2 linked regions of the Nothobranchius furzeri genome follow. The protein of the gene in region 1 interacts with the protein of each later gene in a pairwise test. Links are inferred from orthologs where the notes say so. Each region holds a gene or a part of one and is shown on either strand. Other genes may lie near its edges. The genes, in order: dlc1 and rasa1a.

Region 1 (4,363 bases):
ACAGGAAAATTATAGCTTGACTCAAAAAATGTTTCAAGTGCACATTTATATTGTTAGTTTGACATCCTCTTTTCTAGAGAAAATGTCACATTGAACCTGTTTTTGTGGCATCAGCTGCATTTATTTACAATTTAGCCATTTTCTTCCAATCAGCACCCCCAAGAAATGGCTAAATTAGGTGATTTTTATTTTTTTGTATCACCTTAGCCTCCTTTAACGAGGTCCTTCAACGAAAAACCATTTTTCCGTAATAATTTTGAAAATGATCGATCACTCTGAGATTAACATGGTGAAACTAGTCTCCTGCATTAGGTTCTGAAAGAAAATAGATGAAAAAACCTCAAGTCTTTGAAAATCCCAACAGATCTACGTCACATTGTCACTTAACGTTCATGGACTCACCCATCTCGGCTTACGAAGGGGAATGCTGTTGTTGGTTTAACGTCCAGCAAACGGCAGAGAACGTCTCAGATAGTAGGAGCTAACAGTTAGCATTAGCAACTCCACCACACAGCAGAACTCCTCCAGGCTTGCGTTATTTGCGGAGATAAAACATCAGCGTTGCGAAGAAAACAGTCAGTGGTAGAGTCACGATGCTGTTAGCCAATCAGAGGCAAAATGTCCAAATATCAGAAAATAAGACTCCGAATCTTGTTGTCTGAAGCTTTCCTCTGATCTGGCTCACTTCTAGTTCCTGAAACAGGTGCGTCAGAGCTTTACTTCCCTAGAGCACTACTTACAAGCATTGAGTCCTACCAGAGACCACTTGTAAAGTTGTCCTCATTTTTCAAACAACACTTTATAGCAGAGATAAACCTTTGACAACATTTGTCAAACGTGTCCTCAGATTATCAGCAGACAAGTCTCGCCCTGCATAGTTTTCTTCGTTGCCAGTGTGTTTGGTTAGGAATACTTGTACCGTTACAAGATGACAAATTGGAAAAAAAGAAAGAGGGATAAAAGCAGGTTTTTGGATGTAGCTGCCAAAACATTAGAGCAATCTCTGCTGGCATGAAGCCAGAAATCTTACGAGGCAGCCAGTCTGTTACCAATCTAAACCAAACTGGTGGGAGCCTTGCCCAGTTAGTGGAGCAAAAGCAGAAGGAAGAAAGAAAAACTGAGAAGAGGAAAGAAAACACGTTTAAGAAGGGGATAAGCGTTGCCTTCTAAGCATCGAGGAAAGATTGTACGTTAGAGAAAGTTGGCACGGATACGAGTTTAACTTGTGAGACGGGGGCTGGGGTTCCTGTGATGTGAATCACACTCCCTGTCAGAGGCAGCAGGGAGGAGACCAGATGAGCAGAGAGAAGGGGTGGAGTGGGGGAAAAGAAAACCCAGCCTCTCTTTGCACCACCTCCACTCTTCGGCATTCAGTGTCAGCAAAAAGCCTAATGTGATCAAGATGGAAGTGGTCCACGGACTTTTCCCGGCTTTCTGCCCGGCTTTAAGGCTTCACAGCTGGTTTAGAACGGAATAGACAGACTGGAGTCTTGAAGACGAGTCACACATTTAAACTAAAGCACTGATTTCATCGTGAACGGGCACTTGGAGAGACTCGAACTCGCATTTTACGCATGTGAACGAATTTCATCTGACTGATGGAGAAGAGGCCAACCTGCAGAACATCTCTGGACTTTGTGCTCGTTTCCTGGAATATTTGTTCAGCTGCTGGATGATCACAGTAATCTGATAGTGGATTATAATTTAAGCTGTGGTTGTTGGAGGATTTACAGAAAGTAAATAGCATTCCAGTGTGACGTACGTGATGAAAGTAAGTTCTGCTGTCAGCTGTTGGTTTTGGGCCAGCTAGCGAGAGAAGATCCTCTTCGGCTCTTCTGCTTTCTAAGAATTTGTTTTTGGAAAGCAGCTCAGCGTGGATCCAAGTGAAACCCTTTTTGATTTCAAGCTATGATGTTAAAAAGGAGGTTGTTACTAGTTACACACATGTTAAGTCCTTCCCGTGAACCAGGTCTAATGTAATCCTCATTTTAAATGTAAAATTTACATTTAATGACTCCCTGTATTTTTCTTTACTTCTGACTTTTTCATATCTTAAATGATGCGACTTTTGCATCATGAGTACTTTTCTCCCTGTTTCATTGGGTAAACAGGAACAACTTATTAAGTTTTGATGACGATCTTGTTAATATAGCTAAAAAATGTCCTTTCTCCCATGAAGATGCTTAGCTGTTATTGCTTTATGTTTAGTTGATGTGAAAATCTGAATGACACAGCTTGAAAATACATTTGTTTCCAACATGAGATCATTTCAGCACGAGTTCTTGATTGAAACTGATCCAACCGACTAATTGCCACCCTCTTGCTCTTTCACCCACAACTTCCTGTCAGCAGGAGAAGCAGATTATTTACCACGTCTTCATCCTTGAATTCACTTCCTGTAAACTGACATTTCTTACTCTGGTTTCTCCTTTAATTACAGCAGATCTGGTTCTCTGATCGAGCCCGGCTTAAACGGCAGCTCCATTGGATAGAACTGGGTTTCCACCATGCTGGTTGCCATACGGAAAAGAAGCTGGGAGGAACACGTGACTCATCCATCCGGCTTGAAGTACAGTTATGATGATCTGGATCTGGTGTGCTGTCATGGAGCTGACAGTGAGGGGGTTTGGATTGACTCGGGAGCTCTGAAGCAAGGTCGCCGGATGAGATGTGCCTCTATGCCAGAGGGCAGCCAGGTGTCCACGGAGGGCGTTGGTCAGACATCTCTAAAGGCAACTTCTGTTGTTGATGATGTTGCAGAATCAGAACCTTTAAAGTTGGGAGGAAACACCTCCCTGGATTTGCAAGAGTCGGTTTGTGAGTCTCGTGAGTTGTTGGGGAACGAAGTCTCAAACATTCCCTCGGACCCGGAGCATCTCCCAACCGCTTCTGGAGTCTGCTGCTACTCCAACGATCAGCTCTCCGGTGTTAATACCCCGCACACAACTGATCCTCATGATCGGACTGAGACAACTCTTTATTACGAAAGTGACACTGGCACAGAATGTAGCCAGAGTCACATCTGCAGTGACGACATTGTCTTTAAAAGCCAACACGTCTCCGACGAAGAGCAACAATACATCTCTATCTGTTCAAACAAGGAGCCTCCATTGTCCGGATCTGCGGGTGAACGGCCTGGCAGCCTTCCAAACTATCAGGCGACAAAGGAGAGCCATACAAAGGGTCACAGCAGATCCCCTGGAATCTCTGAGGCCACACTGAACTATTCCTCGGCTGCCGAGCTGGAACCTCAAACTCATTGCCCAGATGTTGCTGAAGGAACCGTTTCCACTTCGGAGCGACCTGTTGCAGGAGGACCTGTTCTTGCGCAGCAAGAATCTGCTAACAAAATGGAGGGTAGCAATGCAACGTCACTGCCAAACGAATCCTTTAAACCGGTTGTGACCATTTCAGAGGATGGAAAACATGACAAAGTCTCAGCTCACAAGCTGGATGGACTGAATAAAAATGAAAACACAGGACTGAGCCATCACTCAAGAAATGCTCAAGGGCAGAGGGATTATTATCAACCCACTGAGGGGTTGAATCAGGGTAATTGTGAAATATTTTGCCAAACATTGACAGAGCAGCACAATGTTGAAACGACAGCAGGGAGCTGGCCTCATGGTGGGGAAAGTTCACAAGAGGAGAGGAGCGAGGACGCAGCGCATGTGAAGCAGGAGCTCGCTGACACTCTGGATGCCAGAGGTAAAAACCCGAGGAGCTCTTTGACAGAAAAGCAGCTTGTAGCTGGATATACAGAAGCAGATGCCATGCAGACAAGCACTGTTCGACGTGAACATCATCACGTGAAAACAAGTAAATCAACGGAAAGCACGGATCAGGGATTGTTAGCTGACGAGGAGCATCCTACGGAAAATGACAGTTCCAAACTGGAGACCATCTTAGAGATCAGCATTTTTGAGGTCAAAGAAACCGCTTTGCAAGAACCTCTAAACAATACAGATGTTCATTTTTATGACTCCCTTTTGGGTGATGGACTCGGGACTACTGAGCAACAAGGGGAGAGCCTGCCGACAGACTCTAAAGAGGTCAGCCAGGAGCACCGTCACAACCAAACCTCAGACCATTACATCCATGAGTCACCGGCTTCAGGGGTTGCAGATGGTCACAGCGAACACCACAGGCAAGGGGAACCCATGGTTTCTGCAATGGAGGAGGTGGATGGTACCTCATCGTCAGCTGTTAACGACACACACATGTCCGGTTCAGGTTTCAGTGGAGCACACGAGTCTGGAGATCAGAAGGAAGATAGCACAGTCAAAGTGCGCATGAGGAAGGTAAGACCAAATATGATGAAGTTGTAGAAACAGTAGCAGCTCTGGTTACTGTAGCAACTGTG
Region 2 (4,345 bases), on another chromosome or scaffold:
CAGTTTCTGTTAAAGCCTTATGGGTACTTTCCCACACACTTCACATAGCTCACTGATAACTAAATATCTTAAAATAGATGTGGTTCAGTCTTATTCATCACCACAACAGCAGCAAAAAAGTCACAAAGCAAAAAACAAAATGTGTGTGACCTCTTTGGGTCTTGCTGAAGTTTAATAAAGGGTCTAAATGAGCCTGAGTTGCAGCTAAAGACCTGGGATGAGTCATTTGCTTCATCACTTTATGAAGAATTCACATTGATACTGACATACTTTCTCATATTTCTAAATTAAAACAATGTTGTTTCACTAAGCCTTGTGAAGGGCAGCAAACTGATAAACTAGTACTAACCCACAAAGTCTGTAAACCTTTGACAAAAGTCAACAGCAGCAACAACACACAAGATTGGTAAAATGCTTGGCCTTCCAGCTCCTCTGCAGCCTGACAGTGAGATATAGAGTAGCTCTTAAATAAGAGCTGAATCCACAGTCACTTCCATATTTCACAAAATGAGCTAAAAATGGGAGAGCTCAGCAGTTCTCTAATGACGCTGAAACCAATGGGAGGGATGAATTTAGAGTCTGTAAGTGCTAGCATGTGCATGGATTTTGACATGTGCTTGTTTGCATACCAACGCTGCAGATCTGATGCTGGAATCAAAAAGGCTTTGCAAATACCTTACACTTGAAATAAAAACCTAATTTAATTAGTCTGTTTTGTTGAAGGACTTCAAAGATTACTTCAGTAAACAATGGTGCAAACAAAGTAAAGGCTTTTTTCTTGGAAAACCATTTCTACTTCTAATGTAACAGATAAAGCATTTGTATATGTATAGATTATTGATAAGACACAAAGTTTGTAAAAAAATGTATTGGGTATTCAAGCATATGCAATAGTACAAAAAAGACAGTGTGGCTGTATTTTAAGGTTGGGGTGATATATATAAAACTTTCCAAGCGATATTTGTCAGTCCAAAAAATGAAGAGGGGCGATATATTCGTGCAGGACACGTTTAGACGTCATGTGGTTTGTTGGCACACTGCGTGGATTGCCCCACCAATCACAATCATTCTTACTCAGTTTGCAAAAGCAAGCCACGAGGGTTCCACATGACACTTTGCTGTTTTTCCAATTCCACTGGCTATTTGATGAGTCAATCAATTATAAACTGTGATAACAGAGGACGCCACCATGAGAATCGCAGAAGAGCCCACAGTGTGATCAAATTAATTTACTTAAAAATTAAGTGGCTAAGAAAGTGCACAGCATAGGAGCATTTAAAACTTGGTAGTTAACAAAATAAGGTCAACATCAAAGCGCTGTGCCTGAAAAAACATGGAGATAAAGCCACGTAGAAAAATGAAACAAGACCAGAAACAGGTCAGTGCCATGACTCCTGCTTTGTGACAGCTTGGTGTCTGCCTCCTCTAGTTTGTTTGGTAAATTAAAGAAACTTTGAGTAATAATTTAGTTGAACGTAAGGAGCCTAAAGTGTTCTTTAAAAGTGTGGCCTCCAGAATGCGATGATAAGCAGTGTTGTAATGCCGGATCTCCCTTTCAATGTTGATTTCTGAATGATTGATAGTCTTTTTTTTTTGTCGTTTGCTGGTTCTTTCCTTTATAGCAACTGTTTCAACTCTTTGGATGTAAATGTCTACTTATCATGTTTATTAATATGCAGATATCAAAAGCCACTCCCAAACCGAAATGGCTACATTTCTGCATCAGTGATTATATAAATATGCTATTTTTCATCATATTAAGCTAAATTGCAAATCACTAAATATCAGTTAATGATTGAGACACAAGTGAGGCTAAATGAATGAAGCATAATATGCTAGAGCCTTTTCCCCTGCTGGATGCTACTATCAAAATGTCTAAAAGTTTTAATATAAAAATTACAATTGCATGAATCTTTTATGCTTTTTTGGATCATCTGGACTGCTTAGTTTTGTTTTGGGTGAGTCTTGTTTCTGATATGCAAAACTAAAAGTTAAAAGAAATATTTGGGTGCAAAAATATATAGTTTCCACACCAACTTTTGGCAGAAAATAAGTAAACATACGCTTCTGCACACGTCAGGAGCACAACAGCAGGAAGGAAGGAAGCCTTAAAAACTACAGGATACTTTAAAATTGTAGTTTTTAAGTTCCAATGAACAGGACGTCGTTTTTCTTGTGCTACTTACTGGTTTGTGGGAGGTGCAGAGAGCGGAAACTCCACCTCGTCGTCATCCTGTTCCGGCAAATCCTGTATGTCGCTTTCATCCATGGTGCCGCCGAGACCCCCGCAGCCCAAAGAAGCAGGAGGTGGCGGCAGTGGAGGAAAGAGAGCGGGGTCATCCGGACCTGATGATGTGGGTGAAATCTGGCTAGTTGGTGCCTCCGAGTTAGAAGAGTAGCACATGCCGCCCACTGTCCCGGAGTTTGTTCCTAGAAAACCATAATGTCCACCTTCTTTTCCGCTACTCCCTGGTGCGGGCAACACTGGTCCCGTCATATCCCCACCATGCATGGGATAGCCCACATTAATGACAGAAAGTGAGTCCGGAGAGGTGTTTGAATGCTGCCGAACGGCTGACGATGTTGGCCCTGGTCCCGGATCACTCACTCGCACTCGGCTCGACTTCGGATAGAGGGAGAAAGGGGCCGTCTCGGGGCCTCCTCCTCCGCCTGCCACCCCTGTCCCTGTCGTGACCGAACTCGTGTCTTCACTGCTGACCTCTGCAGCCATCATGTTAAAAACTACGCAGAGGGGAAAAAGTCCAGAAGGGAACCTGCCCTTCCCCTCCGTTCTCAGACTATTCCGTCAGTGTTCGGGCTACGGAGGAACAACACGAAAAAGTTTCCCAAAACCGCGACTAGCTAGACGGCTAACATTAGCCAACAGCTAACTTAGCTTTACAACACATTCGCTCGCCACAAGACAGCCGAGCTAACACTAGCAGCTCTGAAACACTTGATGAGTTCTTGTTGGCTAGGTTTTCATTGTTTCCTGTGTTTAAAGTTCACATATGAACGCTAGTTAAAAATTTAACATGCGTACATTTTCTCGAATGTTTGTTTTCAGATTTTTACGTATATTTTGGGTCCTCACCCTCAGCACCAGACAAACCACTTGTCGACGAGTCTTGTTTTATTGTCACTGTTGAGCGTAATCCCGTCTCTTTTCCAGTGTTGTTGTTTTCTTTCGTTCCGAGTTCGGTGTCTCAACAAGATACCGCAAACAATCGAACCTTGTCTATTACATTCTTGGAATGATTCGCCATTCTATAAAAACAACAATTCTACTGAATAAAGTATTTTTTTCCTTAAGTACACTGGCTAAGTTCGCTTCTATTTTCAGGGGTGGTAGCTTCTACTCCACTTCAGTGCTCCGTTGCTTTTCTCTCCTCCGTCGGACTCGGCTCCACTCACCGAGCAGACGCAGCTAATAGAACAAAGAGCGGAACGACGCTGATCCATGCCATCGTCAATCGTTTTTGTGAACTTGATTAAAAACTGGATGATTGTCTTGGTAAATCAACAAAAACACAAAAAAGTGCTTTGCGTTGTACAATAGGAAAAATCACAAAGGGTCTCCCCAGGTGGATGTTCATATCAATTGATATATTTTAATATTTAATGTAAAAAATTGTACTATATATATATATATATATATATATATATATATATATATATATATATATATATATATATATATATATATAGGCCCTTTTGAGCAGAACAAATAAAAAATATTAAATAATGTTTTAATTCTTAAAAATATTGTTGAATTTTTTTGGCCCGTGAGGAGTTTTAACCAATAGGCCATCTTCTTGAAAAGTTTGGGCATCCCTGACATGGACCAATGTTCCTCTAATGAACTTGATGTATAGTAAATGTTTAGAATTTCATTTAAAATGTTAAAACATTATCTTGTAATCACTAGTTGATTGTTCTCCTCTGTTGAGAAATCAATCCTCACTTTTGTATAAAATGTAGGTTTTTTTTCCTCCAATCTTGTATTTTTGTTATTTTTTATTCATAAATGGAGCTTTTTGTCATGACGACAGACAATGTTTGTTTGTTTTTCCAAATTATCAGCAAAACTCACTTATTGATCATTACAACCACATCAACCCATTATCCCATGAGGATGATCTTGGCTATCTCATGATAATAAGACAGTTAATTTATAATCTCAAAAAAGCAGTGGTTCAAGTGGCGGTTCTTGGCTTTTATACAGATTAGAAAGAAAATTTGTCATTTCCAGACAATCATCTGTGGGTCACTGTTATTCTCCACCCATTTCCAGTCATGCCCCCAGGCAGCTGCTGTAAAAGTGGAAATTATATTCACATGTCCA

Evidence for each region.
Region 2: the proteins of dlc1 (region 1) and rasa1a interact in binary tests that used the Homo sapiens proteins (3 or more experiments, as listed by UniProt). The link is inferred for Nothobranchius furzeri from reciprocal best matches to the Homo sapiens genes DLC1 and RASA1.

The regions. Positions count from the first base shown.
Region 1 is NC_091746.1:77,703,127-77,707,489, reverse strand, and holds the start of dlc1 (rho GTPase-activating protein 7), read left to right. Parts: upstream 1-1,542; 5' UTR 1,543-1,771; intron 1,772-2,440; 5' UTR 2,441-2,507; coding exon 2,508-4,301; intron 4,302-4,363. UniProt on the Homo sapiens protein: Functions as a GTPase-activating protein for the small GTPases RHOA, RHOB, RHOC and CDC42, terminating their downstream signaling.
Region 2 is NC_091757.1:43,358,035-43,362,379, forward strand, and holds the start of rasa1a (ras GTPase-activating protein 1), read right to left. Parts: upstream 2,966-4,345; 5' UTR 2,735-2,965; coding exon 2,187-2,734; intron 1-2,186. UniProt on the Homo sapiens protein: Inhibitory regulator of the Ras-cyclic AMP pathway. Stimulates the GTPase of normal but not oncogenic Ras p21; this stimulation may be further increased in the presence of NCK1.